Linked DNA regions of Schizosaccharomyces pombe. Changing the gene in region 1 together with any one later gene gives a genetic interaction. Each region holds a gene or a part of one and is shown in the gene's direction. Other genes may lie near its edges.

Region 1 (8,136 bases):
TATTGAAAGATTACTCTCATTTCCAATGCAGGATTAAATGAAGTATATGAACAGATTTTGCATATATACCAAAAAACTCCAATAAACAGAGTGGTGATTAGCCACAGATACATTTTTTCTGTCTAGGTATGAACAGAACTTTATTTTATCAAAAGATGGTGCATTAAACATTTAGCTTTTATTTCTCCTTGGCTTTCCAATGAAATCCCACTGCGACCCAGGAAAAACAAGCTTTCTAGGAAGTGTTATCTGTAGCGGAAGGCTCTTTCGTTTCCTCTGATTTCACAGACTCCAAAAACGACGGTCGCCAACGATTCAAAAGCTTTGCGGCGGAAGCTTTAACATCTACATTCTCTTTCCACATCGTCTCAAGAATATCAAGGCATTTTTCACGTACAGGTTAGTCGAAACATTATTAAATACTGAAAAGTCATGAAACCGAGCTTCGTCTTATCGGGATCAAGACATACAAATTTAATTTTGTCAACTATAGCATCGGTGAGTTCTGGCAATTCAGACATAAATATCATAAAAACTTTATCTTTTGCCTCTAAGTATGGTAAAATGCTGTCTATTACTTTAAGGGCCCATTTTTCATATTGTGGACCTTCCCACTTAACATCCTCATATTCATGACAATCCGGATTTTCAAGCATTAGTCGATCATTATACCATTCCTCGGATAACCAGTTCAATATTAAATTTGTACTGGAACGCCAGTTAGATGCAACGTAAGTAAAAAGCTGCCCTCGAACAAATGAAGACAAAGTGAAAGAAGCATCTCCAGATTCCTCACCAGACGTTACAGGCTGATAATTCAATAAGCCTCGCGTACAAAGTCGTGGTAAGAGAATTGCCCAGTGACGCTTATCCCATACCGTATTATCCACATTTTCCAACGTTAAATTTTGAAGGTTAGAAGAAGAAACTATGCTTCTTTCAAATTGAGGAGCATAATCAAATAATCTGGATAAGGCACCGTGAAAGTATTCTAGAATAGCCATCGGGGACAGCGAATCTGGAGTGGGTAATTCAAACGCATCAGTAACGACATTGGAGGGAGCACTTCCCTCTAGTCGAGCTGCTTCACGTTCTACACTAGCATTGATAGTCTGAACATCTACCTCAGGCGGTTCATAATCCTCGTCCTCGTCTTCATCAACTTGTTGATCAAGACCAAGGGATTCAGGCTCAGAGAGAGAGCGCACTCTCTCTCTCAACATATTAATTTGCTGATGAAAGTAGTTTTTGTCTATCTTAAGAAGAGAAGTAAGTACAATTTCAGTAGCCACTTCAACCGGAATTGAAGTTACATCAAAATTTGCAAGAGGATTTATAGCAGTTTGTGAAGCAAATATGCTGATTAAGGGATTATTTTGCAAACCATCGTGAGAGCTAAGTTGGGGTTGCATTCTTTCTACAAGACTTTGTACAGCAGAAGACTTAACACGCTTAGAGGCAGCACTAATATTTCCCTCATATTGCCGTTTCTTCAAACTTTCATCGACTTTGGTATGATAAATTTGTCCGGAAAGATAAGCGTGAATTTTTTCGACGGAAGAAGAAGATGCACCTGTACTCTTAGCTAAATGAAGTAAAATAAGTTTTAGATTTTTTTCAATACACCGTATAGCTAACTTGCTTTCGTTCGACAGCTCAATTTCATCTTTTGGATTCGGAAGATGAAATTCTAACAAGCTTCCTATGATTTTTGGTGCTAGTTCCTTCCGTCGCTTCACCAAAACCGGTAAGATATTCAAAACGCTAGTAATGTAAAGGACATTCAAAGAATCCGAGAAAAGGATGGAAAATATTTTTTCAATTAAGTCATTTGCTTCTATTCTGAGGATATTTGAATTGATAAAAGGATGATGTGTGGGAACCTTAGAAAGAGACACGTCCGATTTAGTTACAAGACGGGGATCTCGAATCCCAGGCACTTGCGTTAAAATTACACAAGAAATAAATTTAATACAAGAAATTAAAAGAGGCTTGTTCCCTTTGTCAAAGTCATTAATGATTTCGTTTTTTAGCTTCGTTAAAGTGTCCCAGGTAGATGAATCGTTAGGTGAAGTACAACAGTGCAGAAATACTAGTGGGTAGATTGTGCAAGAACAAGATATAACGTCTTTTTTAACTTCTTCATTATCTACTGCGTACAGAGAAACAATTGTATCTAGACAAGTTACAGCTAAATCCAATTTCTGCTCAAATTTAACATTTTTGCTCGAAAATCCAAACCAGAGGAAATTTGCCATCCATTTTTTATACCTTATATCAGAATAGTTTGCCACAGAAAGAATGTTTCTCACGATTTCTGGAAAAAGGCTTTGATCAGTTTTAACAATATCTCGAGCCTGGTTTAAACGAGTAAGATGTTCGTCTGTCTCCGAAACTTCCATACCAGGACTAACAGAGAATTTAAGATGATAATTATATTAAATACTTATATGCTTATTGATCAATTTCTCAAGTAAATGTTAAAACTTTGCATCCTCTTTTTACTTTGCTGTCGGTTCAAATTTTGGTAAGAGAGGGAATACATAGCGCAGTGGTTTAAGGATCGTTAATATGTAGTGACTATATATAACGATGGAATAAAGGTTTTTGTGTATGATTGTAAAATCTTGAAGTAGAGATTTGCTAAAAAGAAACAAATTTTTAAAAAAAGAAAATAATATCCGATCTTTCTTCTAATTTCTTTAATTCATGGATTTAAGCAATTTAATTTACACAAATTCTTATCAGATTATCTAAATACTTTAATTAGTTTAACTTCGCTTCGGTAAAGAAAGCATACATAGCAAATGACATTTTGCAATTTGCCATTGTTAACCACATTTTCTGAGAGACGTTTCAACGATCTACTGAGGAAGAGTGCCGTCTACCTACTAGCTAGAAGAAAGTCAGCTTCGAAAAAGAGGACAAGGTTTCTAATCTCTGCTTCTCAATTTTTGAAATTCTGTTTTTTCTTATAGTGTTTATTGTATAGAAAATTGTTAGCATAATAGTACATATTAAATTTGAGGAAGATGAGCTCGAATTTAGTGGCTTTATATTTATTTTCTATTGATAGAAGTCAGGATGAGGCAAACGACGTTGTAGATCGAATTGTCGAAGAAATTGTCACTGACAGAATGGGGATTGTCGATTTGGTTACTTCAATTGGAGAGTATTTAACTGACAACAATATCTCTGTTAGAGCAAAAGCAGTTTTATTACTGTCACAAACTTTAGGTGAGCTTCCTAAAGATAGACTTCCTGCGAAACATGTATCTGTACTTCTTCAGTTTTACTTGAGTCGTTTGGATGATGAAGTTACAATGAAGGAGAATGCGTTAGGTATTGGAGCTCTTCTAAACATGCAAAACTTCCCTGCTCAAAAGATTGTGGATGTTTGTAAGGCTCTCTTCAGTTCCACTGACATGCCAAAATATGCTCAAGCAACTCGTTTAAACATTTTAAAAGTATTTGAAACCATTATAGATAATTATCTTTTCTGTAAGGATCTTTTTGGAGAGTCATCAATTAACTTAGTTCTCAGTCATCTCTTCACAAACTCGCGATGCTTTCTTCTCTGGAATTTGTTCAACTTTTGCTGGTGAGAAAGACCCTCGTAATCTTATGCTGGTCTTTTCTATGCTTAAAAAAATACTTTCTACATTCCCCATTGACGGATTTGAACAGGTATGGATCTCATTGTTAATCGCCTAATGAAATTACTTACATGTAGCAATTCTTTGATATCACTTATTGTTATTTCCCGATCACTTTCCGTGCTCCGCCTGATGCCACCAATTTGGCTATTACTAGCGACGATCTTAAAATAGCTCTCCGGTAAGGCATCATGACATGTGAACTATTGCTAACCGTCCTTTGTAGAGAAACCTTGGTTGCTAACGACGCGTTTTCAAAATTACTTCTTCCTGCTTTATTTGAAAGGCTGAAGGCTTCAACTGTTCGCATAAAAATCGATGCATTAAACATTTATATAGAAGCTTGCAAAACTTGGCGCGTGGGTGCTTATTTATGGTCTGCTAAAGACTTTTGGGAATCTATTAAGCAAGAAATACTAAATTCGACAGATGCTGAACTTCAAAATTTGGCGCTTGGTGCACTCAATACTTTAGCTAGTAAATTTTATAAAGAGGAAGGGTTTTCATCTTCGTTCACAGAGTTTGTGGATATGATTTTGATCCAATTATCACAGCGTTTACTCGAAGATGTTAATGTTAAATCTTGCGGATCTTGTGCAGCTGTATTTGCTTCCTTGGCTTCTATCTCTGTGGAAACATTCAATTATTGTTCATGCAATTTTTTACCCAGTGTTCTCGATCTACCAATGGTAAATGAACCATTGGAGAAACAAAAAGGGATGCTAGTTTTTTTGGAATACGTCTATAAATGTTTGGTACTTTTATACGGAAAGTGGAGAAGCAAAAACCAGGCTGATATTGACAACCCGCTACTTGTTTACAAAGACAAGCAACTTAGTTTTGTATCAGGCTCCTTGATGGGAACAGCCAAAGATGAAACTGAAATACGCATGTTGGCTTTAAAGGTTATTTTTTTAATGGCTTCGATCAAGAACTTCCTAACAGAGAGTGAATTAACCATGGTACTTCAATTTTTGGATGACATAGCATTTGACTTTTCCGATCCTATTAAGAAAAAGGCAACAGAATGTTTGAAGGATTTAGGGTTACTAAAGCCCGACTTTTTACTTTTGACTTCATTTCCTTTCGCATTTTCAAAATTAACTGATGATGTTACTGCTAAGTCATCTTCTGAAGAAACTTTTAAGCAATATTTATCGGTACTAGTCTCAATATCTGAAGAAAGGAGTTTGTTTAAGGCCCTTGTCATCAGACTTGTTGAGATGTTGAAAGATCAATTTAAATCCAAGGAAATGAGTGTTGATCTTGTCGAATCAATTGTTCAAAGTTTATCCGTTGCCTTTAAGGAAAGAAATGATCGAAATGAACAAGAGATTCCATTCTTTTTTGAAGAACTACTGAAGCAACTTTTTACCCTTTGTTTCGCTAATTGCGAGTCAATGAATGTGAGATGCCTTATTTATGTATCACAGACAATAAATGAGATAGTGAGAGTAAACCATTTTGAATTTCAAGAAAAGTTTGTTGGTCAATTATGGAAATTATATATGGAGAATTCCAATTCCGACTTAATTGAAACTGAAGGTTGTGAAAAAGCTGCAGAAAGATTTACGCTTGCAGCATCTTTAAGTGATCAGAAATTTTTAAATTTAGTGGTATTATTACAGGGTGGTCTTAATGGATTGAGTAAAAAATTACATTTTATCGAAAAGTTGAATATTGAGTTGTTGAATTTACTCATAAATGTTGTTTTTGTTACGGAAAGTCCTGGCGTTAAAATTAGCGCTTTACGTCTCATATCCTCGCTTATTAACAAATGTGAAAAAGACGAAGATATATCAAGTTTTATATCTTCGAAGGGAGTCACGTCTTTGTGGGATAAAGTTTATACTGGAACTCCAAAGGAATCTGAAGCTGCACTCGATGTGCTGGCGTGGGTTGACAAAGCTTTGGTCTCTAGAAAGCATAGCGAGGGCATTCCTTTGGCTTTTAAATTATTGGATACTTTGAATTTACAAAATGTCGGAGATTCTTCGGTCAAGGCACTTTCAATAATTATCAAAGACGATCCTGCGTTGTCCAAGGAGAATTCATATGTCGAAAAGCTGTTATACAAACAACGTTTTTACGCTAGTGTTAGTCCTAAGATTTTAGAACACATTTCAACTGCTACTGGAGGAGAAAAGTCTTTGTATTTAATGCTTCTTTCTAATGTGATAGGAAATGTGCCAAAAGAAATTGTAATTCCAGATATGCCATCTATCCTTCCACTTCTACTTCAATGTCTTTCACTGTCTGATATTAGTGTTAAACTTTCGACGTTGAACGTTATACATACTTCGGTTAAAGAATTGACTTCATTATTGACGGAATATCTTGATACTTTAATTCCTTCGCTTTTGGCAATCCCTAAGGATATGAATAATCCAACTGTTGTTCGTCTTTTAGCCCTTAAGTGTCTTGGAAGTCTGCCAGAGTTTACTCCTACCACGAATTTACAACTATTTAGAGATAAAGTAATTCGTGGACTCATACCATGCTTGGATGATCCTAAAAGGTAAGAACCATTCATTTTTAGTGAAAAGAATAACTGTTAACTACAAAATGCTAATGAATAATATAGGGTTGTAAGGACTGAAGCAAGTCGAACTCGTCATAAGTGGTATATATAAAGAGAGATTTTGATAAGTCATTTTTGAAAAATAAAAACGTTAAATATTGTATTTTTTAGGCCAAGGAAGAGATAAAGCTTCTTTTATAATTAAATTAAATTCAGTAGCAAGATCTGGATCTTGATAAATTAATTTATTTTTGTACGCCAAATTTTTATCGTTTAACCATTCATAAAAGTTAACTTCGGGACAACTCTCACTAACACTTTGAATTGTTGATACGGTGTTAAGTAGAACCTCGAGCGTTGAAATTGAGCGTAAATGCCAATTATTCATCAAGTACTTTTGAAAGATGCTACACCAAGTCGAAAATACCCACTCTATTGGGATAACTTTAGAAGCTTTGCTAAAATTGACATTTTCCAACGAACGAGCAATATTTTCAAAGATGATGGACAACCTACTTAGCAGTTTCTCCTGAAAAGCAGAAGGAATATCAATATGGCTGTTTCTCGACCAAAAATCATACAACTGAAGAAGAATAGCCGATCCTAAATCTTTACTAATGAAAGCCTCAGATAAAGGAAAAGATTGGACAGATTTACTTAATAGGAAAAGTTTCTTCAGTAATGTAACTGGGTGGTTTTCCTGCCGTAAAGTGTTCACAATTTTTGGCATAATATTCATTTCTAAAGCCTTTTTCTGAGCTATGAAATTATTGCTAAGCGCTGATGCCAAAACAACAGACGACATTGAACGAATCGTATTTGGATAGTCTTTCCCATCCATCAAAACAAAAAGTTGATCGCACAGAGGCTGTTCAAGTACATCCTGACCAAATTTTATATCATGAGCCAAATCACGCATTGTTTCTAAAGACGACAACACAATGCTTGGGTCTGAAGTATCAGGATTTAAAATTACAGAAGATGACTGATCGAACAACTGTCTATCGTAAAGTGAAACAGATGAATCTGAGCTTACAGTCCTCACATTCAAAAAAAGGTAACATATTGCAAGAAATAGATTCGACAAAGAGAATGTTAAAGTAAAAAAAATTCTGTAAATTTGAGTATTTCTTTTCTTTTTAGACGAGTTTCCCAGAATCGAAAACATTGAACCGATTAATCTCCAATTTTTTCACTCCTGTTAGAGAGTGGTTTATGGTAGGATAGATTTCAAGAAAAAAAAATCCATAGCATGATTAGGCAATTGCCGCTGGTAAATGGAAAACGTAGCAATAAAATTCATGTTAAAAAATAAGAATACGATACGGACGTTGTGGCAGGCATGGAAGCCTTCTAACGAAAATGTAGTAATTGAGTATTTCGCTTTTTGGCAACAACTCAAATTGAGAATTGATTAAAAAAATTGAGCTCAATCAGTTTTCAATTTGAGACAAGTACTTTGAAATTTCCGCCTCAAAAGTTGCACTTGATATTTGGCCATCTTCTTCAAAAATGTGAGCAACAGGAACCGACCATTCAAGTTGAACAGCATTTCTGTTTTTGAGTACGGTAAATTTAGTAGTGATTAGAGGCTTATTTTTCAAAGGTAAAAAGGTATCCGCAGAAATTTTGATGTGTCTTTCTTTTTTCGTAGCAACATAAACAGTACTACCCTTGACTACAGAAGACCAAAATGTGAGCAAGCAGGAAGCTAGGAAATATAAAGGTAAAAGATACTTTAAGTAAGATTTTAAAACACCAAAACCATAAACATACTCAATGCCAAATGCGAGGCCGGCGGGTATAATGCAAGCTATTGCGATCAGCAAACGAATATCTTCAAATACAAAGGATTGCTTATAACCATTTTTGTTAAAATGGTTTGTTAATTCTTTATCAAATTTAGATTTGAAATCTGAAACGTTATATTTTGGCATTTTTACTATTAGCTTAATTATG
Region 2 (10,211 bases), on another chromosome or scaffold:
ATGTGTATGTTCAATTTTTGGTACTCTTTGGCTTGATTAGAGGTTGTAAAAATATGGACCCCTAAAAACGGATCGAGTGTTTGTCCTATGAATAAAAACGGTAATATAATCGACTAATAATTGGATATCGATATGTATTCACTGACATTTCCTTCATGTTTTCGATTATTTTTTTTGTCTTAAAAATTTTTTTTTAAATTCGATGAGCAAAAAACAAAATTCTTTTTTCTTTTCCGTTTTTTTCATCTATCAGACATCTGCTATTTGAATCCATTTTTTTCGTGTTGTCTTACAAAACATTCAGTTGTCTATTCTAATAACTTGTTTTTACTGTTTTTTATTATTTCTAACTCGATTTTAGCATATCCTACTATACTGGCACAGCGGAACCCGTTTATGGTCCTGAGGCTATCCAACCCGTCACTGCATCCGTTCAGGGCATTAATCCTTTCCATAGGCTTGAAGCCGACGACTTCAAATGGAGCACTCCCTCTTCCAGCCATGTGGAAACGCAAGTCTTTTATATCAAGCCAAATGAGGGTGACTATATGTGCTTTGTTCAATTGATACATTCCAACTTGGGTTCTTGGACAACCACCGCTCAATCTACGTGTCGCATTTTCGATTTGAAGCATCCTGAAAACGATTTGTGGACTTCTACCAACATGGATCAATTTAGCTTTGAAAATGACAAAACCTCCTTTGTCGCCAAAAATTGCTCTGTCGTGTTGGAAGACCAAAAGCGTTACCGAATTCGTGCCTCCATCAACATGGACTCCATCATCGATATAACTGTCCATCAAGACGCTCCTCCTTTTAAAATCGGTGAAGATGGAAATTCTACTTATGGAACAGATCCTAGTAAGCCCTGGGCTTCCATGAAGCATACCTTTTGGCCTCGCACTCGTGTTGAAGGTAGCATCGTTGCAAGGGGTAGAGTTGTGGATGTCACTGGTCCCGGCATGTTTGTTCATGCACTCCAAAATGGCAAACCCCACCATCTTGCTTCATCTTGGGAGTTTGCCCTCTTGCAGCATAAAAAGTTTACCGCCATCATGATGCAGTTCAAGACACCCCCTAGCTATGGTTCTACTATTGTCAATATTGGTGGTATCGCTATGAAAGACAAAATTATTAGTGCAACTGTCGATAATACTATTGAGCACGTTGAGACCACACTCGATCCCGATACGGAATGGCATGAACCCACTCGCATTTCCTACGAATGGGACGGAAAGGATGCTGAAACATACACCGAAGATATTCATCTTTCAGTCGATGCTCCTTTGGGAAGACGTCTTCAACGCATCGACGTTCTTGCCGAGATACCATCTTGGCTTAAGGGTTTCGTCCATGGAGTCTCTGGAACGAAACCTTTCATCTACCAATATTTCTCACCTGTCAAATTTACACTGAAGATGGGTGACGAGGTTATTGAAGATGAAGCCACGCTTTTTAATGAGACTACTTTTATTTCATAAGCATCTTTTAACAAAAATATTCAAGCATAAATAATTCGATGCATTTTGGGCTTAAACAAAGAGTGAACGTGCATCCATCTTTTTTTCAGAGCTTTTCTATATTAAACTCTCTGGTTTTGTATTCTTTTTTTCCTTTTTTTTGTCCTGTTGTTTTTAATTTCGTGTCTTCGAATTTTTTTTTCATACTATTTTTCGTTTTATTAAAATAACTTCATATAGACTTATCACTTATACTCTGAACTTGATAGTTGTGCTGCTCTCATATTGAATATGATTCTTGTTAATGGTCTTGTGCTACAAGCTCTGAAATTCATTCGTTCTCTTGTTTGTGTACTAAATCGATCTTGTCATCCTAATACCTATACTGATGGACATGGGCAAGGCATCTGGCAAAATTGTGCATTCGCTTATGTTTATTGAAAGACTGCAGTCTGTGTAAACGAGCGAGAATGTTTTAAAATTTTTTAAAAATTTGAATACTTTTCATTTTAGAGACTTCAAATAATATTGTTTTCATCATTAAGTGGATACTAATTAGCAACTTCTCAACTTCTATTTTATTTAAAAAACTAATTCATTGTAAATGTTGTATTGGTTTTCTACGAAAGCAGTTTTTCTATTATTGATAATTTCGCTTTTACCACTTTATAATAAAAAAGTATTGTATGTTTAATGTTTTCTAATATTTTTTTAATAAGTTTTCCTATGTTCCGATAAGAGCAGGCAGTGAACGCGTAAACAGATATATATGTATGTATTTATTATTAAAATATTATGTAAATAATTCTTAAAAAACCGAATCATTCTAGCATAAAGCATTGGAAACCAGTAATTCAACGTAACTGAATTTCACGGATTTACAAGCAAGTCGTACAGTCCTTTCTTCATTCAATAATATTGATTTAATAATAATATGTATATGCAATTTTCCTTTTTTTTTTTTTTTTTTTTTTAAACATTTTAAAATAAAGCATAGGCGTTTAATCATTTTTTATTAAAGTGCGTAACTTATGTTGTAAAAAACTACCACCTACTTTTCTCTTAAAACACCAGAATCTATAAGTGTAATGATTCCCCTTAACAACGAATTTAGAAGCTATCAATAGTATTGCGTCTGTTTTTATCAATCTCACAAACAATTATAGGAAGTATTCTGCTCGTGTGATTGTTCTTTTTCTTCTGGTAAAGATGAACATATGCATGTTTATTTGAATAGCTTAGGATTCATTATTTTTTAAGAGACAAATTTCTCGTCAATTGAATGAAACCTTCCGCCTTTATTTTCTTTTTGAATGGATATTTCAAGTTTTCTACTTCCTCAACTTTTACGTAAATATCAACAAGATGTGTATAATATCGCGAGCAAGCAAAATACTTTACTTGTTATGAGAACGGGCGCTGGTAAGACATTACTTGCTGTGAAGTTGATAAAACAAAAGCTCGAGGAGCAAATTTTAATCCAAGAATCAAATCTTGAACATAAAAAAATATCAGTTTTTCTCGTCAACAAAGTCCCTTTGGTATTTCAACAAGCGGAATACATTCGATCTCAACTACCGGCTAAGGTTGGCATGTTTTATGGCGAATTATCTATAGAAATGAGCGAGCAGTTGTTGACTAATATTATATTGAAGTATAATGTGATTGTTATTACTGCAGATTTGTTCTATTTGTTTCTTGCAAGAGGTTTTCTTTCAATAAATGATTTGAATTTAATTATATTCGACGAATGTCATCATGCAATTGGAAATGATGCGTATGCTCGCATCATGAATGATTTTTATCACAGAGCCAAAGCAGTATTGTCAAAAAAACATTTCACCCTACCAAGAATTTTTGGTATGACTGCTTCACCATTCACTGGAAAAAAAGGAAACTTATACCATCGACTGTATCAATGGGAGCAATTATTTGATTCTAAAGCACACGTGGTTTCGGAAAACGAGCTAGCCGATTACTTCTGTCTTCCCGAAGAAAGCTATGTAATGTATTCCAATAAGTTGGTTGTGCCACCCTCGGATTCTATTATCAAGAAATGCGAGGAAACTCTTCAAGGATGCAAGTTAATTTCTCGGGCTGTTAAGACTGCTTTAGCAGAAACCATAGATATGGGTCTTTGGTTTGGGGAGCAAGTTTGGTTATATTTGGTTGATTTTGTGGAAACGAAAAGATTAAAAAAAAAGGCTTTAGGGAAGCAGTTGTCAGATGACGAGGAACTGGCAATTGACCGGTTAAAAATATTTGTTGAAGATTGGAAAAATAACAAATATTCAGACAATGGCCCTAGAATCCCTGTTTTTGATTCCACTGATGTTACTGATAAAGTCTTTAAACTCTTAGAATTGTTAAAGGCTACTTACCGCAAAAGTGATAGCGTTCGTACGGTTATTTTCGTTGAAAGAAAAGCTACGGCGTTTACTTTAAGTTTGTTTATGAAAACTCTTAATCTGCCTAACATCCGCGCTCATTCTTTTATAGGACATGGACCGTCCGATCAGGGTGAATTTTCTATGACATTCAGGAGGCAAAAAGATACCCTTCATAAGTTTAAGACTGGAAAATATAATGTTTTAATTGCTACTGCAGTTGCAGAAGAAGGTATCGATGTACCATCATGTAACTTAGTTATACGCTTCAATATTTGTCGGACTGTCACCCAGTATGTCCAATCTCGAGGTAGAGCGAGAGCAATGGCTTCAAAGTTTCTAATTTTTTTAAACACAGAAGAGTTGTTAATTCATGAACGCATTCTACACGAAGAAAAAAATCTTAAATTTGCCCTTTCAGAGCTCAGCAATTCGAATATTTTTGATTCATTGGTATGTGAGGAAAGAGAACGTGTGACTGATGATATCGTCTATGAAGTTGGCGAGACTGGTGCTTTACTCACAGGGTTGTATGCAGTTAGTCTGCTTTATAACTTTTGTAACACACTTTCAAGAGACGTATACACAAGATATTATCCCACTTTTACAGCTCAACCCTGTCTTTCAGGTTGGTATTGTTTTGAGGTAGAATTGCCAAAAGCCTGCAAAGTTCCAGCGGCTCAAGGATCTCCCGCTAAATCAATTAGGAAAGCCAAACAGAATGCTGCGTTCATCATGTGTTTGGATCTGATTCGTATGGGTCTTATAGACAAACATTTAAAACCCCTAGATTTTAGAAGAAAAATTGCCGACCTTGAAACTCTTGAGGAAGACGAGCTAAAAGATGAAGGTTATATCGAGACATATGAGCGCTATGTACCAAAAAGTTGGATGAAAGTTCCTGAAGATATTACACGTTGCTTCGTCTCTTTACTTTATACTGATGCTAATGAAGGAGACAATCATATATTCCATCCCTTAGTGTTTGTACAAGCTCATTCATTCCCCAAAATTGATAGCTTTATTCTTAATTCGACTGTTGGCCCCCGAGTTAAAATTGTTTTAGAAACGATTGAGGATAGTTTTAAGATCGATTCTCATCTGCTTGAGTTGTTAAAAAAATCAACTCGTTATCTACTTCAATTCGGTTTATCTACTTCTCTTGAGCAACAAATACCTACTCCTTACTGGCTTGCGCCTTTAAATTTGTCATGCACGGATTACCGGTTCTTAGAAAATCTGATAGATGTTGACACTATCCAAAATTTTTTTAAATTACCGGAACCTGTTCAAAATGTTACTGATTTGCAATCCGATACTGTATTATTAGTAAATCCACAGTCAATATATGAACAGTATGCTTTTGAGGGATTTGTCAATTCTGAATTTATGATTCCTGCTAAAAAGAAAGATAAGGCCCCTTCTGCCTTATGTAAGAAACTTCCTTTACGATTAAATTATTCACTTTGGGGCAATAGAGCTAAATCCATTCCCAAATCACAGCAAGTGCGCAGTTTTTATATCAATGACCTCTATATTCTCCCAGTCTCTAGACATTTGAAAAACAGCGCCTTGCTAATACCCTCCATACTGTACCATATTGAAAACTTATTGGTCGCCTCTTCTTTTATCGAACACTTTCGACTTGATTGTAAAATTGACACTGCTTGTCAGGCTTTAACATCTGCGGAATCACAATTGAATTTTGATTACGATCGTCTAGAGTTTTACGGAGACTGCTTTCTAAAATTGGGTGCTTCTATTACAGTTTTTTTGAAATTTCCTGATACTCAAGAGTACCAACTGCATTTTAATCGAAAGAAAATTATTAGCAACTGTAATTTGTATAAAGTAGCAATAGATTGTGAGTTGCCGAAGTATGCTCTCTCGACTCCCTTGGAAATCCGTCATTGGTGTCCATATGGTTTTCAGAAAAGCACATCGGATAAGTGCCGCTACGCCGTTTTACAGAAATTATCGGTTAAGAGGATAGCAGATATGGTCGAAGCTAGTATCGGTGCATGTCTTTTAGACAGTGGACTTGACTCAGCACTCAAGATCTGTAAATCTTTAAGCGTTGGTCTGCTGGATATCAGCAATTGGGATGAGTGGAACAATTATTTTGATTTAAATACATATGCGGATTCACTGAGAAATGTTCAATTCCCTTACTCCTCGTATATAGAGGAAACTATTGGATATTCATTTAAAAACAAGAAACTACTCCATTTGGCATTTATTCATCCTTCCATGATGTCTCAGCAAGGTATTTACGAAAACTATCAACAGTTGGAGTTTTTGGGTGATGCTGTATTGGATTACATTATCGTACAATACCTTTATAAAAAGTATCCTAACGCAACTTCTGGCGAATTAACTGATTACAAATCTTTTTATGTGTGTAACAAGAGTCTATCATACATTGGCTTTGTTTTGAATTTGCACAAATATATCCAACATGAAAGCGCAGCAATGTGTGATGCAATATTTGAATATCAAGAATTAATTGAAGCGTTCAGGGAGACTGCTTCAGAGAATCCGTGGTTCTGGTTTGAAATTGATTCACCAAAGTTCATTTCAGATACTTTAGAAGCTATGATATGTGCCATTTTTTTGGATTCTGGGTTTAGTTTACAATCTCTACAATTCGTTTTACCTCTTTTTCTTAATTCGTTAGGGGATGCGACACATACTAAGGCTAAAGGAGATATTGAACACAAGGTATACCAATTACTGAAAGATCAGGGATGTGAAGACTTCGGAACAAAGTGTGTCATCGAGGAGGTGAAATCCAGTCACAAAACATTGTTAAATACTGAACTCCATTTAACAAAGTATTATGGGTTTTCATTCTTCCGCCACGGGAATATTGTTGCTTACGGCAAATCCCGTAAAGTTGCCAATGCAAAGTATATTATGAAACAAAGACTTCTCAAATTGTTAGAGGATAAGTCTAACTTACTTTTGTATTCTTGTAATTGCAAATTTAGTAAGAAAAAGCCATCAGATGAGCAAATAAAAGGAGATGGAAAAGTTAAAAGTTTGACTTGAGACTTGAAATATACAGTATTTCATTTTTTATGACCGCGGCCCTTGTAACTTTTCAAACTTTCAATTTGGGTCTCCAAAGCACGGATCCTTTCGTGATATTCAGAAAGTTCCGAATTCAAAGCATCTCGAGTTTCAATCATTTTCTCTTCTTTGGCCTGAAAGAAGCTTTCAGTTTCATTAGTCATTTGTGTTATCTTTTGTTGAATCGCACGTTTCTCATTGTTCAAGCGTTCGTAATGCTCTTTTTTCAGCTTAGGAATGCCACTCTTTCGATTCGTAAGCTGCTCTCTACGATATCGTTCATAGATGTTGGTTTCAGTTGTATTTATAAGCTCGAGCATATGCCTATTAATTAGCAATTTCTTCAATTTTAAAAAATCACAATGTGTTTCTTCATATATTTCAGAGGTTCCCCATGGGTAACGACGCCCTTGCGATTTTTCCCCATCGTCTTTGCAAACTTCATTTACACTGGAAATGATAGCGTAAGGTAAGGATGAATCTAGTAATTCGGCAGTTTCGTAATCAGAATACTCTGTTGATGGATGGAAAACGTCGATTGATTGAGCTTCCAGGATCCTTCTAATTTTTTGCTTTATTTGTGTTAATTCGGGAGTTGTAAATGTATCTGCCTTTGCTATTACTGGCACAAGGTTTACATGGGTCGATAGCTCCTTCATAGCTAACACATCTAAAGGAAGCATTCCAAACGAAACTGGCGTAATAAAGTAGAGACAAACGTGGACTCTAGTGTCTTTCCTTGGTACACGGAGAGAGTTTTGATCATGAATTAGATACCTTTCGTGTTGTTCGTCTAAATATTCTGCAACCGTATTCCAGCAACTGGTATTGTCAATGAAATCACCGAACCCTGGGGTGTCGAGCACCGTAAGATTGATATGAAAACCATCTTCTTCAATTACGGCCTTATTCTTTTTAACTTCTAAGGTCTTTTTGGCTATGGTCTCCTTAGCCGTTTCATATGATTTTTCTGGTTGCAAAGAAGTAGCAAAAAGAGTATTGAAGAACGTTGTTTTTCCAGTACCTGAGGCTCCGCAAAGCATGATTGTTAAACCACATTCTTTTCTTTTTATTAAATTTTCTCTGTGGTATATTTGTTAATGAATGATTTATGAATTTATGACTAGATTGTAACGATAACATACCTTTTGGATGGTAGACTATCCAAATTTAATAATAATTGAAGGTTTTCAGTCAAAGACATCGTAAAAATTTATTTCTCGAACTATCTGTATTTTGCTCTTTAGTAGGTTCAGGTTTGTTTCAAACAGCGTTTATCAGCGAAATATAAACAAACAACCGAATGTCCAGTGATAAAAAGCACAGATAAATAAATAAATATGCCTCATCAAAAATTTTTAAATATACAAATTAAATTATCTACATAGAAGACTTTTAATTCTTTTTCACATCTTGTACCAAAATACTTTCATAATCCTGGTTTACCAGAGTTGAAACAAGAATACAAATAAAAACGATGCTCAAATTTACTAGCTCTTTAATCATTAGAAGAATAAACATTAATTTTTAAGACTAAATATGAACTTCTGTTGAATTAACTGCCTTGATCCAAAAAAAACACAAAACGTAAATTGTACTTTTTTTTATTTTTAAGACAGTCATATTCCAATGAATAAAACCATACAATAATGTACATTTTCTTTGACAGTGTCAAGGATCGAATAGAATTAAGTTTTCTTTGAAGAAACATTATTCAAAAAAGTATCTACACCAAAAGGATCAGCAATATCTTTCTCGAAAGTGACGGGGCCAGCACGAGACTAAGAAAAGTTAGTATTTAAGTAAAAGTATAAGATATTGAAACATACCTCTACGACTTCATCCGATCCTTTGAACTTTTTATGCGCATTTCCTAGTACATCATAACGACTTTCACTAGTAATACGTTCCAATTCTGCAGATGCATCAACTTGACGGGACAAAGTAGCACCCGGTCTATATAACGTTGATGAAGGTGCCGCCCGCCACGGTTTATCATACACATTGTAACTGTCTTCGTCTTGAAATCCGGATCCTAAGCCAGAAGCCTGATTAAATAATCTACTATCGATCATTGTATCGCTTGACATTGATGGTTTTGAAAGTCCTAAAGCAACCCTTTCAGCGACATCACGAGGTCGATCTTTTTCAGCAAGCTTAGCACGTTTTTCAGCACCCATTCGACTGAGACGAAGATCCTTTTCAGCTTGGCGTCTTCGCTCGCGGCGAAGTTCTTGACGACGGCGAAAAGCTTCTGAATCCTCATCTTCATTTTCTGACTCTGAATGATGCGAGAACGATCCAGCTCTGGAACGACTTCTTTCTTCAGAGGAGACAGAAGTAGAGCGGGGTTTTGCATGTGAAGGACCCGAAGAAGCCGCATTTCTACCCATACGATCTTCCCTTGCTTTTTGAGCAAGCATAAATAAACGTTGCTCCTTTTCCTGCTTTTCCTTTTCAGCCATCTTTTGGCGCATTATGGCACGATATCGGACCTCTTCACGAGCTTGACGCTCCACCGTGTACAATGCTTCAGAAAATTTGGCAAATCCATCGTTGATTTCAACATCATTAAGACCACGACCATCAGCGGCCAGCCGCTTATCCAATGGAATAGTGTAGCCTTTCGGATTTTTCCAATTAGAAATACTCGGAGGTATTTGCCAATCTTGTTGTTCTTGAGCAGAAACTTTTCGTGGAGGAGAATGCAAGACGGGAGGAGGAGGAGAAGGTGGTCCACGAGGAACCTTTTTGTGACGGAATTTTGGTGGTTCCATGGGATCCTGTTCAGCTGTGACCATTTTGATAATCCTCTGTTTGCTAAGTGCTTGTCCCATTTGATTGCTAGGAGTATATCGAATGTATACAGGATCGTCACGTTGTTGTACCACAGCACTTTTAGGTTGAGACTGAGCGATTTGTTTGGAAAGTATTTTTTGTAAGGCAAGCTTAGTTTTATTCGCTACTTCTTGCTTTTGCTCGTCAGACGGTTTCTCTAACGAAATTTCTCCCACACCTAGTCGTGCACGTAAGGGGATCAAATCTCGAAAGCTTGCCTGTACCAACTCTCCATGTTCGTGACCTTGTCGAGCAATGGCATTATAGTCAACAGCGCCCGAAGAAGTGACCTGTAGAGCCAATGTATTACCAGCAGATTTAGCTGACCTTTTTCTGCCCATATCCAAAGGATATTGTGCTACATGGATTTCGGGAAAAGCTCCACCATCGCCAAAGTCTTCAGGTGAAGAAGGAAACCATCCCTTTCTTTGTCCATAGGGAGGAATGTGAAATT
Region 3 (5,740 bases), on another chromosome or scaffold:
TACTTGTATCTGCAAGTCCCAATTTGAATCCTTCATAGCTTCAATTGAAACCATAATAACCAAAAAAGGCTATAGTCTTGTAGTATTTGGTTCAATTCAGGTTAAGTCGCCAACACAAATACTCGGTTCTTCCTCGGATGTCCGATGATTATTTCGACAGACTATTTGAATTAGCATTCGTTTATATTAATGAAGATGAAACGATTCAAAGCTGTTCCTTCAGAGGACAACGCTGGCTTGAAGAGGTATGTCTAATTTTTCCGTGCCGTTTATAGTAATGTGCTTCAATTACTAACAGTTTTGAGGCCCAAACTCTTGAACAAAAAAATTCATTACTCAAAGCATACTATTACTATTTAAAAGCACTAAAACTTGCTTACGAAATTCCATGCCGATTCGAGATTTCTGTTAAGTCTACTCATTATGGAGAATTCAAACAGTTCCAAAAGGTATCGACATTGTACATAGTATTTTTTTTAATGCTCAAAACACGAAAATTTTGTATTCAAAGCTCCCTAGCCTTCTCGTCAGATAAATTTGATATAGTTGACGAGACTGTACTAATTATGATCTTTGAAGCAAACTTAATTTATTTTTTGTTCAAGTTACAATCTTGAATACTAACATGTCCTTTTAGTTAGCAATTCAAGCCGTTTCCAAAGCCTTTACTATAAAAAGCAAATTAGCGGTGAAGCATTATTTGCCTGTAATTCAAATCTCTGACGCTCTTTCCCTATCAAAAAAATCATCACTTAAAGTTCTTTTTCTTAATTTCTATTCCCAAGAGTCTTCAAAGGGTTATGTTTTTTCGAAGCACACGATTGCCATCCCAATATCCTGTTTGCAATCGATGGATTCTTCAAAAATATATGACTTTTTAAAATCCGCACCTTTTCATCCAAGCATGGTTATTTGTTACAGTTTGGAAAGATACTTCGAAGACGTTTCTTTGGCTTACAAGCTTTACTCGATGTTACGTTCGTTGAAGTTGGATCCTCATTTCATGGAATTGGCGAACCCTAAGAAAGTTGATAGTTCTTTATCGTATGAAAATTATCAGCCTATAGGTTTAACGAATTTGGGTAATACTTGTTACATGAATTGTGTCCTGCAATGTCTTTTTGCGTGTAAGGACTTGACTATTCCTATGTTACAGGGGAGAGGATTGCTTCAAAATATCAATACCAAAAATCCATTGGGTACCGGTGGAAAAATCACATCTGCTTTCTTTTCCTTGCTTCAAAGTGTCTTATTAAACCATGGTCAGAGATCAATATCTCCAAGGAATTTTTTAGAAATTGTACAGTCATTGAATAGAGATTTCTCCATCGATGGCCAATGCGATGCTCAAGAATTTTTAAATTTCTTTCTTGATAAACTTCATGAAGATTTGAACTCCAATGCATCTCGGTCTCCGATAGCACCGTTGACGGAAGATCAATTAAGTGCCAGAGAAGAACTCCCATTGTCCCACTTTTCACACATTGAATGGAACTTGCATCTCCGGTCTAACAAGAGTATTGTGGTCAACAATTTTGTAGGTCAACTTTGCAGTCGTACTCAATGTATGACATGTGGCCGCACATCTACTACTTTTGCTCCCTTCACATCGCTTGCGATACCGATTGACGATGTCTCCCATGTAGTAAGCCTACAAGAATGCTTATTAAAATTTTCAGCTCCTGAACTCTTGCAAGGGCATGATGGATGGCATTGTCCCGTGTGCAAGGTTCAAAGGTCGGCAAAAAAAGTAATTATGATTTCGAAACTACCTGAATATTTGATCATACAAATTCAGAGATTTAAAATATCCGTAATGGGTCGTAAAAAAATTGATACACCACTTGGATTGAGCTTACAGATTCCAAGTAAAATGCTGGTACCACCGAGTTTCCAATCGGGAATTGGTTATATTCCTAGCAATTATAACCTGTTTGCATTTATCTGTCATTATGGCCAGCTCGAAAATGGACATTATATATCTGATGTACTTTTTAATAATGAATGGTGCCATATTGATGACTCAATTGTTCGAACAGTGGGCGGTATTACTGACTTGAGAGAAGATTTCTCCTCTTCCTACATTCTTTTTTATAAACGCTCAAGTCTGTTGGAGGAGTTTGAAGATAAGTGTCCCAAAATGACTTTGAAAAGAAATGTTAAATAAAACAAAATAAAAAAAGGAAAAATGTTTTCAATAAACCTCAAATATAGTTATTGAATAAATGTTCAACTTAGCATTCATAACCGATATGAATACTTACTTAATGCTGATTACCCAACACAAAAGCTACTCTCGTTATGTTGAACAGAATGCAGGAATTGGATACAAAATTTTTTCATCCTAGAATTTTTTTTAAACAAAGATGGTTTTTTTCTTCAAGATTGATCATATTCTTTTAAGGAAGATTTTGTTCTTAACTTTCCAGACTTTTTCTTTTTAAACACCACTTTGTTTTCATTTGATTCCTTGCTTTCTAGCGATTTGTTTCCCTCGTTTTCAGCTAACTTAGGTACTTTATCTAAGTTTTTTGGTTTTACCCGAAAATGAAATGAAGATCTTTCTTCTTTTTCGATGATCTCTCTGTTTCTTTTCAAAGAGGTCCCTGGTAGAGACTCATTTTTATTAGTAGTTGTTTCCTTGGTTTCTTCATTTTCTTCTTGCTTTGCTAGCAATGTAGGAATATAGCTGGTATGAGTAGTAGAGATGGTGTCAGTCTCCGTAGAACTTGTAGGAATATCCCAATCATCCAAAGTAGCTTTTTTTTTAGAGGGACGTAATTTTGGATGCTCCTTTTTTGGTTTCTCATACGATGCTAGTTCAGATGACACCGCTGAAGCAGTGGTAGCAGTAGCTGATTTTGGTATAGATAAATTCTTCTCAAGTTCCTGCCTTAAAAGGTTGGAACGATGAATATCATCCATTACTTTTTTAATAGCATCCTGATGTTTATAAGTTTGCTCATGGCTCCGTCGCGCAAATGGTGTATCTTTCACGAACTGTACTGTTAGTAGGATTCTATTAATTTCACCACTTTAGAAATAATTTTTGGATGTTATAGAAAAAACTTACTATTTGGCAATATTTACAATAATATTTTGGAATACTTTTCCAGTAATCAGCCATTCTGAATATTAATAGGAGATACGCACTAAATACATACTTAAAACTTATTTACCCATATATTTTTCTCAGGAAACCCACCTTTTAGCATACCGTTATTTAGTAATGACAACAGTTTCAATTACTTTTGACTTGTTGTCGTCTATGCAACCAAGAAAATGGCTGAAAAATCAGAATTTTGTTGGTGAAATTACCTCTCTCAGTTTTGACGACAGTGGAGAGTTGTGCTTGGCGTCGTGTACTGATGATACTTTACAACTGTATAACTGCATTTCTGGAAAGTAAGTACTTCTTAAATTCACTTTTGAAACCTGTTTGGCTAACTGACCATGAACTTCTAGATTTGTGAAATCACTTGCAAGCAAAAAGTACGGAGCACATTTAGGTCGGTTTACTCATCATTCAAATTCATTAATACATGCTTCCACAAAGGAAGACAATACCGTTCGTTATTTAGACGTTGTGACAAATCGGTATCTTCGATATTTTCCTGGCCATAAGCAAACAGTGACTTCAATCGATGTATCACCAGCAGATGAAACTTTTTTAAGCGCTTCTTTAGATAATACTATTCGCCTTTGGGACCTTCGGTCTCCAAATTGCCAGGTATGAGTATAACAATTACTGATAATCAAACTAACTAGGAATACGTAGGGTTTGCTCAATGTTAGTTCACCCGTTGTTGCAGCTTTTGATGCTACAGGACTAATCTTTGCCTCAGTTAGTGAAAGAAAATACAAAATTTCTCTTTATAACATTAAATCATTTGATGCTCGCCCATTTCAAGACATTCCTTTAACATTCCTGCCCCCTCATGTCCGCATTGCAAATGTGGAATTCAGTACTGATGGTAAATATCTATTGCTAACAACTGGAAATGATTTTCATTACGTTATAGACGCTTATAGTGGAAGTGAATTATTAAGAGTTCCTTCAAAGGTTAGCACAAAAACCCAAGATGGAAATTTGACTTATTATGCTTCAGCTTGCATGTCTCCAGATAGTAAATTTCTTTTTACTTCATATGATAATGAGCATCTTTGCATGTATCAACTACCAGAACTGAAACAAACTGTTAACTCGGATCACATTGTTAATTCATTCACCGAAATGGGCCTAGCATCAACTACTCCGACCAGCAATAGTCATTCAACAGAGAACCCGCTAGCTATCATTCCTTCTTCAACATCTAAAAACCTTTTACCAGAAACACCTTCTATTGTTCGCTTTAATCCACGCTTCTCTCAATTAGTTACAGCACATTCTGGAGTAATTTTCTGGACGTAAAATTGTTTTTGTGTCTTAACAAACCACGAAAAAATGAATATTATATTATACTATTATTAAAAACAATTTCATAAAAAAACTTCATAACTATTATTTAAAAGGGGGAAAAAATGAGTCCTCTATTTTAAATGACACCTGAATGACTTAGAAGACTTAAACAAAATAAAAAAAGGTAAAGTAATATTAGTTTTGAATCGAGATTAGGTTCGTAATAAACGCTTCACAAAGTGTCCAAATTTTGAGTTTCTAAATCCATGATGGGAATTCCCCAAATCATAATCAACACACAAGACAATAGTCATACCTGCCATGTTGGTAGCAATTATTATATCAATCGGATGTACAGGAGGTGTTCCATATGATCTGTGACTATGAGGTTTTACTAGATTGTATCCTTCTGCAATTAAACTGCGATCATGTTCCGACTCTTTAGCTTCGACAGCAGTCCTTGCTGGTGCAATGATGGTCGAAGTCAGTCTCTCACTACAAACCTTGAATGTTTCCGTGGGCAAATGGAGAATGACAGAGCGTTTTCTTGATGCATTGATGAGTACCTTGTTGGGAATATGCCATAAAACTACTTCATTAGTATCACTTCCACTAATGATATAACTGTTGTCTTCACTTAAACGAGAAAGTACTCTGCCATTAACACGATGAGCATCACTCAGTTTCAACACTAAAGCGTGAGTGACCGTGTTGTATAACCGGATAGCATTGTCATTAGTAGATACTAAAACAACGTTGTCGGATTTTGAATCGTTTGGAATGATAGATGCGCACTGTAATCCAGTGACTCGGCATTTTTTATTTCTTGAGGGAGAATGATGAATTAGCCATGAGGACACATATTGTAAATTTTTAGTTTCATATATTGCACATAATCCGTAGAACATGCCCACAACGATCGACTCACCGTCTGGATAAAAACAAATAGTAGAAACGACATATTCAAGTTCCGTCCAATGCAATATTTTATGGCGTAAAATGGACCATAACTGAATTTTGCAATCAAGGGAACCAGAAACAAAATAACGATCGTCGATCGGGTGAAATGCGACACATGTAACAATCTCATTGTGCCTGAAAACCGCCAAGGATTTGGTTGATTTTGGATGCCAAAGCCTAACGGTTCTATCCGCAGAGCTAGTTAATAAAAAATCATTTTTGCTCCATGAAATGGAAAGGACTTCTGCGTTGTGACCTACACATTCTAGGACAGGTTCAGGTTCAAAAATGCTAGAAGGGGTAAAGAAACGACCACAACTTTGAGGACCTTCTTTGAGTAAAGTTTCTCTTCTTTCTGGTGTTTCAATTACTTTCCACACA
Region 4 (8,044 bases), 1.2 Mb from region 1:
TGGTTTTGGAAACCAGTTTATCGATTTTTATTTTACTTGTGATTCTCTTCATTCATTTGTCTTGTGGGTCTTTGCCACAAATATTCGATATAATGTTTATAAAAACTAAATATGTAAAAAAATAACCTGTACATTCATTTTATTAAAAAAAGTAATTATAATAAATATTCTTTAACTTATGGTACACATAATATTGTTATCATGTATGGTCTTGATGGAGAAAAGGTAAATAACTAAACTAAAAAATTTAAAACGAAGTAAAAAATATCGGTAAGTACGAAAAATAGATAAAATTTAATAAAAAAAGGAAAAAAAAAAAAACAATTACATTTTCTCAAAAATCACTTGAAAACTAAAGACTCTTCTTGTTTTGTAATACTAGACTTATTCAATTTGACTAAGTAAAACACACTTGTATAATAAATAGTATATTTTATTTGTAATGATAACAAGGTCTCGTGGCCCAATGGTTAAGGCGCTTGACTACGGATCAAGAGATTCCAGGTTCGACTCCTGGCGGGATCGTTTTTTCAAAAGCTCAAATATCGTGAATACTGTAAAATACCTTTTAAGATCGTGCGTCTATGTATCCTATTGCAATCCAGTAAACTGCATATGCATAGAGGGATTGTGTTTTTAAAAGCAATTAACCTCGGTAATATTATGTATTTATTTTTTTTGGCGTAGACACGCCTTTGATAAAGAAGCGATATGAGTTAACAAAAATTGAAGATAAAATTTATTATTAATAGGTTCCTAAGATTGCGTCCGAGACCATTCACTCGAAACTTCACCGAGATGGTATTTCATTAAATAACGCAACCTAACGATATATCATAAATTAGATAAGGCATATTTGGAATTCGCAAAACGCAGCTTAAGTAGAAGCTCGCATCTCAAATATGTGCGTTGTAGGGAGCGCGAATTTTTACCTGCTCTTAGCCAACTTGAACATACAAGGACGGGAAAGAATTTAGGGGGAATATGAGGTTTGTAGAGCTAAATGCCTTCAAAGTATTTATTACTAACGGAAATTTAGGGTACATACTTGCTATTTCTGCTCGGGTCCTGTTTACCCAGGACATGGAATAATGTTTGTTAGAAATGACTCCAAGGTCTTTCGTTTCTGTCGCAGCAAGTGCCATAAGAACTTCAAAATGAAGCGCAATCCTCGTAAGGTATGTTTTTTTTATAATAAAGGAATGCAAAAACGTTATACAGACTTGGTTGAGGAAGATGATTGATTTTGAAAGAGGAAAAATTTTTTTCTGTTGCCTTGTTTTGAAATGATACTTTTCTTCTTCAAATTCTACCTTAAATGGTGTACTTTTTCCTTTATATGCCCATGAACGAAGAAAGTTTTCTATTGTTTTTTTAAATGTTTTGCTTCCACCTATATGTATGTATACTAACTTCAATGTCTAGGTTGCTTGGACCAAAGCGTACCGTAAGGCACATGGAAAGGAAATGGTTTATGACACAGCTCTCGCAGTTACCGCAGCTCGTAGAAATGTTCCTGTTCGTTACGACCGTAATGTCATTGCAACTACTTTGAATGCCATGAAACGGGTTAGCCAAGTTCATGCCAAGAGAGAGCGTCTGTTTTACAAAAAGAGATTGGCTGGCAAACGTGCCCAAGAGCTTCAAGAAGCTCAAAAACTCATTGCTCAAAATGTTCCTCAATTTACCGAACCCGAAGGTGAGGTTGAAACTGCTGAGGTACAAGAACCCCAAATTGTTTCCGACGAGGAGTATACCATGGAAGAAGAAGTTGCAGAACCTGTCAAGATTCCCGTCCTCGCCAAAAAACGCAAAAACAAGAAATCTCGAAACTCATCTTCAGCCATGCAAATGGACTAAACACTCTTCTTCCTACAAAAATGTAACTCTCGATCTTCCGTTGGTTGCGTCCCGCTTCGTTCTTTTATTTTATTTTATTTTATTGTTTTATTCCTTTCAAATTTACAAAATAGTAGAAGAGAAGACATTTTTGGGGAGTGGTTTTCTTACACTTTCGAACTCTTTAGACACTTCGAAAACGTGTTTTTTAAAATTTATCTTGCATATCTAAAGTTGGCATTTGGTTTCGGCTTCTCTTCTCGTTTGGTTACTTCTTTGGACTTGCATGCTACGTGCAGATTAATATGGTTAATAATGGATTTTCGTGTATACATACTTGTAAACGAACCTATCTTCAGTTTGGAGCTTGTACAAGATACAACAGTCTAACAGTTTGAAAAATGGTTGTTTAGGAATAAATTGGTTTATATTATTAGTTTCGTTTATCACAAATGCCTCTTCGAAATGTAAAATTCTACTAGAACGATAGAACATTGCTTCATTATTTGGATTCAATTCTCCATGAGGTATATTTAGTAAGTCATAAAACAGTAAAGACTTTGTCATTTATGCTGGTTTCCTTGCATATACATTTCTCTATAGTTGACAAGCCTATTCAAGTCTCATATCACTGTGGAACTCATGAAAACAGATCCCTCTCCTTGTAAAGCTGTTTAAACCCTACAGTCCAATGCTAAAGGTTGTTAATTCTTTAGAGTTGCGAGTCCGTTATTGACGTTTTCGATTGCTTGCGCACACTCACTAACACCATACATTAGCTAACTACTGACACATTGCACCTGCCGTTTATCTCAACTCATTGTCTTAGTAGATGATTTTTTTTTTTCAAAATGGTTTCTTAGCAAGACTCATTAAAAACTCCTTGACAGTTTTATTACCTTCTAAAATATGTAAAATGAGAAGTTTCATAGAGAAATGAACTATTCTTCAACATCTTCTTCTCTTTGTTTTTACCGAGGAGACGTTAGACTGCGGAAACGTGGTTTATGGGACGTGTGTTTACACTCGGTGGATGGAAATGTTGAAGAGCGGAATAATCGCGACGTCGTATCAACTACCAAAATCGCGTATGCAAATTGAAAACAGAGTATTTGTTCAACTTACATGGTTTTTCGAGTATTTATATACTAGATTCCTAGTTTTAGGAGAGTTCAGATAATCGAGATAGCCATTGGTATAGTTGGGGCTAAAATCTTTGCTTTCATAAGAAAGCAGTAATTTCCAAGGTTAAATTGCTCCTGTACAGAAATTAGCGTTTATGAAATACTTCTTTACTTTGTTATAAGTTGATCGTTTTCTCTTTGGTTAAGTTAGCATGTGGAAAATACGATGCGTTTGTCCATTCGAGGATGATGACGGATTCACCATCCAATGCGAAAGTTGCGAGGTATGGCAACACGCCGTTTGTGTAAACATAGATGCAAATAATGTTCCTGAAAAATATTTTTGTGAACAATGCCAACCTCGTCCTATCGATGCCGACAAGGCGCATAAAATTCAACTAGCTAGGTTACAGCGCGAAGAAGAGCAGTCTAGGATATTATCGCGATCCCGTTCTTCCAACAACAAGAGAAGAACTAGTTTTGGCAAAAATGGTGCTAGTCCTACACACTCTGCGTCACCGAGACAAGGCAATAACACAGGCGCTAATGGCGCTTTATTTTCACAGTCTACCAACTCTTCGAACTCGGGGTCTTATCGTAACAGTGTGACTGGTGCAACATTGCCCAATGCTCATGCTCCACATTCTCAGAATCGCAGACGAAGATCCAACCACCTTAACAACCCACCAGAGGCTCCAATCACCGAGGCTTCTAACGAATATGTGTATTCGTTTCACTTGGAATACGTCCCTTTGGAATCAAACACCTTTTCTGCATCTGCGCTTGAGTATTCTAAGAATTTGGATTTAAAGAATTTAGATGAATCCGAAGTTTTAATGGATGGATGCCAAGTCGTACCTATATCATCTTCAAAGTTTTGTTGTAGTCGCTTTGGTTTGGTGTCAACTTGCGAAATTCCTCCAAATACACCCATTATGGAGGTGAAAGGAAGGGTTTGTACGCAGAATGAATACAAAAGTGATCCCAAAAACCAGTACAATATTTTGGGGGCTCCTAAGCCACATGTCTTTTTTGACTCAAATTCTCAGCTTGTTGTTGACTCACGGGTTGCTGGTTCAAAAGCGAGGTTTGCGCGTAAAGGTTGTCAGTCAAACTCCGTCGTTTCAAGTGTTTACATGAATGGGTCTAACAGTGTTCCTCGATTTATCCTCTATTCAACTACTCACATAGCTCCGGAAACAGAGATTATTGGGGATTGGACTCTCGATATTTCCCATCCATTTCGCCAGTTTGCGCCTGGTATGTCGCGACCCTCCTTCAATATGGAAGAGTTGGAATTACTTTCAGAAGTGCTTTCTACCTTCCTGTCGTTTAACGAATGTGCCTCACAGGATAAGAAAAACTGTGTTTTTTCCAGAGTTACTAAATATATTAAAGCGGCCCGCCGCGCTTCTACTGCAAACCGTGTCAGTGTAGCAAAAGACCGTTTGTCTCTGACACCTTCCTCAACCCCTTCTACCCCTAGCCCTGCTGAATCATTACCGCAACCTTCAAACCCCACATCGGTCTATGCCAAATCCTTGAAAGAGTTTTGGTTAGATAAGTACCGTCTTAGTATTTTGCAAAAATGGCCTGCTGTTAAGTCATTACCCACAGAAAGTGTAGGAATCGATGTAGTCATGGAGCCGAAGTTACAGCCATCTGTGAAGGAGAAAAAACCAACTAAAGATTTACAATCTCCACTACCCTCTGTTGAGGAAGATTCCTCTAATAGGGACAAGAAAACTGATATTGCTGATTTACACACTGATTCTAAGGTGGGCATTGCAGACGTCTTATCGCCCATTTCACCCGATGCTGCATTACAATCCGATGGTCCATTGAAAAAAGCAAAGGAACCTGAAGAATCCTCGATAACCCCTACAACTCCTCCATCTTTTAATGTTGGAGAATCACTAAGTAGGCGATCAGCCTCACCATTACAACATCCTCGAACAAGCCCAGATATGCTGGACAAAACTTCTCCTTGCAAAAGAGGATTAGGAACTATTACGACAGTCCACAAAAAGCATGGTTCTGTTGATCATTTGCCGTCAGTTAAAAGACGCCGTAGCATTGCAAATGATTTTCATGGCAAACCTGATTATAATAAAAGATCGCTATCTATCGAAAGGAAGCCGGAAGCCTTTAAGACTAAAGGTGACAGACCACATAAGGTCCATCCTTCTTTCCATAGAAATTCAGATTCAAAATTGAAACTCGAGCCGTCGAGTAAAGAAAAGAGTGGGTCCATGTTTTTTAATACGTTAAGGACTGTAAAAGATAAATCGCATGTTCACGACACTCAAAGGTCTTCTGACGTTAACTTTTCTAGACAGAATGGCACTCGATCCCATTCACCTTCGGTTAGTCCTGTCGGGTTTTCGTTTGATAAATCTCCTGTAACTACGCCTCCTTTGCCGACAGCTCCAGCACCAGTTATAACGAGTCGCCATGCTTTGGTAAACAACCAATTTCCTACGAACAATCCAAACATTTTGGACCACAAAGCCAACAACGGTGATGATATCTCGAATGCGTTAAATACTTCAAGAAGCGAAAACAAGCCCAATTCGAATCTGGTCCAAGGAAGTGTAGTCAAGCCTAGTAACACTTCAGCCTCTGCTCTTCCTACCTCAGCACCGAAGAAGCTATCTCTTTCTGAGTATCGACAACGACGTCAACAAAACATTCTGCATCAACAGTCGAAGGATAATCAAGCACATGGCGATACAGCTAGGCCTCACACCGTTCCTGCTGCTACAGTTTCTAACCCTTCATTTACGCGATAAAAATTCTAGAAGATGTTGTAAATCTTGAAACCATATAAATGTGTGGATGATTTTTTTTATTGGATATGGTATACGAACAAGTTTTCACGATTCTAAAGTTGGTACGATGACTGCATCTTTTTACCTTCATATGTATTTTCATTTCATTTTTTTATTATGATGATTGGTACTCGGAGCATATTTTACTGTCACCTGCTTCTGCATTCTTTTCTTCTTCGTTTGTAAATATTTAATGACTAAGTGTTTGGGCGAAAACTCTAGTTCCTTTTTTTTTTTTTAGTTTCTTTTGATTCAGAGCAACGAACCCTCAGTCGTTGCATTTTTCTGTTCCTAATTTGCACGTTTAGAACATTGTACAATATAATAATATTAATTTATAGCAGTTAAATGATTTATGTTTGTCATATAGAAGTTTCGGTTCGTAAGATTATAAGAACTAACTATTTAAGATGTCAGCTATTTCCGTATGCGACATGTACTAGATTAAATAACTTTTTGGATACGCAAATGAAGCTAGTACATTTTGAGTATTAAGTATCATAAATATAAACATCGATTCAAATATGCTACGTGCAGATTTCAGCGAATTGTCGCATCAAATTAAACTATTCATCGACGATCCACTCAGATCTTGTATATATCAAACGGCCTACGTTAATATAGCTTGTCTACTTATAGCGACTCTGAAAGTGCGCCGTTAGATTATTGTGGTATAGAACCGGGAGGTTAGGTACCATTCCTCTCTCTCCATGAACCTACTTTTTTAAGCGAAACGCAAACAAAAGTAAACAATTACCAATGAACATTTCACGTTCATCAGGTCTGATGAGACAGTTCCTGCTTCAGCCCTTACGGAAAGGCTGCGACATTTCTTGCCTTGGAAGGTCAAGTTGGAGAATGAGCAGGAGCTTCTCTGGATCGAGTGTTTTAAATGAAATTAATTTGTCACGGACTAAGAATTTATTTTTGAATGATTGTAAGTTTAATAAAAATTCATTTGAAAAGTTTTTTGCTCGCCGGCTGAGTAACTCAGTCGCTCCTACACCAGGTGGCATCCTACAGGAAACCGAAAAAATTCCGAGTAAAAAGGTCGCCTTTTGGCTGCTTGGATCTTCTGCTCTTGTTCTTGCAATTGTTGTTGTAGGTGGCATTACTAGACTAACTGAATCCGGGTTAAGTATTACTGAATGGAAGCCCATCACTGGCGTAATTCCTCCTCTTACTGATGAACAATGGAACCAAGAATTTGAGCTTTACAAAAAATCACCAGAGTTTGAGAAGCTGAACAGCCATATGACAGTGGATGAGTTTAAAAACATATTTTTCTGGGAGTGGTTTCATCGTGTCCTCGGTAGAGGAATCGGCTTGACAATCCTTCTTCCTTCCATATACATGATTGTGACTAAAAGGGCATCTCCTTGGCTAAGCAAGCGACTAATCGGCCTTACGGGACTCGTTGGACTTCAAGGAGTCATCGGTTGGTGGATGGTCAAGAGTGGTCTTTCAGAAGAGCTCTTCAGTGATGGTTCTCATCCGCGTGTTAGTCATTATCGCTTGGCTACTCATTTAGCCGCTGCCGTTGCTCTCTATATTGGCTTGGTGTGGACTGGGCATGGAATCCTTCAACGACATGCCTTTTTGAAATCTATGAAGAGTGGCTCCACATCTCAATTGACTTCAATGGTTTCTTCAGTTCAGAAAATGAAAGGATTTCGTACTAGTGTTAACTCATTTGTTGGCTTGGTACTGATCACCCTTTTGTCCGGTGCCTTTGTTGCTGGATTGGATGCCGGAATGATTTATTGTACTTTCCCGGAAATGGGCGAAGGAAGACTTGCTCCATCTAAAAGCGAGTTATTTGATCAAAGGTTTTGTAGGAAAGACGACAAGTCCGATCTTATATGGAGAAACATGATTGACAACCCAAGTCTTGTTCAACTCGAACACCGTATCTTAGCTATTACTACTTTTGTTGCTGCATGTGGTCTTTTTATTTTTTCCCGTGCTAAAAGAAACATTTTGCCTAAGAAGATTAAAACTAGCATTAACGTTGTTACAGGCGTTGTAACTGCTCAAGCTACTTTGGGTATTATGACTCTAATCTATGTTGTCCCTGTACCTTTGGCAGCCCTTCATCAAGCCGGTAGTCTTGTTACATTAACCGCGGCCTTATCACTTGCTCAGCGCTTGCATCCAGAATACGCTTTAAAAAACATCCGCTCATGGACAAAATTAATCTCTTCTCCTCCCAAAAGTAGCATTTCATCTTCCATTTTGACTCAACAACGC

Evidence for each region.
Region 2: of mms19 (region 1) and dcr1, changing one suppresses a phenotype caused by changing the other (phenotypic suppression), as found in Schizosaccharomyces pombe (2 studies listed by BioGRID, with this or other methods).
Region 3: mutations in mms19 (region 1) and swd2 together harm fitness more than expected from each alone (negative genetic interaction), as found in Schizosaccharomyces pombe (2 studies listed by BioGRID).
Region 4: mutations in mms19 (region 1) and set3 together harm fitness more than expected from each alone (negative genetic interaction), as found in Schizosaccharomyces pombe (2 studies listed by BioGRID).

What each region holds. Positions count from the first base shown.
Region 1 is NC_003424.3:3,855,391-3,863,526, forward strand, and holds mms19 (TFIIH regulator Mms19 ), read left to right. Parts: upstream 1-2,827; 5' UTR 2,828-3,032; coding exon 3,033-3,501; exon of another isoform or gene 3,502-3,544; coding exon 3,545-3,687; exon of another isoform or gene 3,688-3,733; coding exon 3,734-3,837; exon of another isoform or gene 3,838-3,882; coding exon 3,883-6,174; exon of another isoform or gene 6,175-6,240; coding exon 6,241-6,289; 3' UTR 6,290-6,328; downstream 6,329-8,136. Other genes in the region: protein Sil1, read right to left, coding at 6,329-7,345; signal peptidase subunit Spc2, read right to left, coding at 7,611-8,114. UniProt on the Schizosaccharomyces pombe protein: Key component of the cytosolic iron-sulfur protein assembly (CIA) machinery that mediates the incorporation of iron-sulfur cluster into apoproteins specifically involved in DNA metabolism and genomic integrity.
Region 2 is NC_003421.2:1,502,853-1,513,063, reverse strand, and holds dcr1 (dicer), read left to right. Parts: upstream 1-2,506; 5' UTR 2,507-2,773; coding exon 2,774-6,898; 3' UTR 6,899-6,918; coding exon of another isoform or gene 6,919-8,002; 3' UTR 8,003-8,064; downstream 8,065-10,211. Other genes in the region: ER to Golgi ceramide transport protein, lipocalin superfamily Svf1, read left to right, coding at 362-1,481; septin Spn6, read right to left, coding at 6,919-8,002, 8,065-8,123; Prp19 complex subunit Prp45, read right to left, coding at 8,608-8,700, 8,749-10,211. UniProt on the Schizosaccharomyces pombe protein: Required for G1 arrest and mating in response to nitrogen starvation. Ago1 regulation of cytokinesis and cell cycle checkpoints occurs downstream of dcr1. Required, indirectly, for regulated hyperphosphorylation of cdc2.
Region 3 is NC_003423.3:1,780,646-1,786,385, reverse strand, and holds swd2 (Set1C complex subunit Swd2.1), read left to right. Parts: upstream 1-3,166; 5' UTR 3,167-3,229; coding exon 3,230-3,405; intron 3,406-3,465; coding exon 3,466-3,730; intron 3,731-3,778; coding exon 3,779-4,411; 3' UTR 4,412-4,441; downstream 4,442-5,740. Other genes in the region: SPOM_SPBC18H10.09 (zf-CHY type zinc finger protein), read right to left, coding at 1-54; ubiquitin hydrolase Ubp4, read left to right, coding at 138-245, 306-449, 638-2,167; wbp4 (WW domain-binding protein 4), read right to left, coding at 2,380-3,000, 3,074-3,127; SPOM_SPBC18H10.05 (WD repeat-containing protein), read right to left, coding at 4,612-5,740. UniProt on the Schizosaccharomyces pombe protein: The Set1 complex specifically methylates 'Lys-4' of histone H3.
Region 4 is NC_003424.3:5,037,613-5,045,656, reverse strand, and holds set3 (putative histone H3 lysine methyltransferase Set3), read left to right. Parts: upstream 1-2,912; 5' UTR 2,913-3,175; coding exon 3,176-5,755; 3' UTR 5,756-6,111; downstream 6,112-8,044. Other genes in the region: ribosome biogenesis protein rlp24, read left to right, coding at 985-989, 1,040-1,178, 1,426-1,860; etp1 (monooxygenase-ferredoxin fusion protein), read left to right, coding at 6,554-8,044. UniProt on the Schizosaccharomyces pombe protein: Transcriptional regulator that acts via the formation of large multiprotein complexes that modify and/or remodel the chromatin. Required for both gene activation and repression.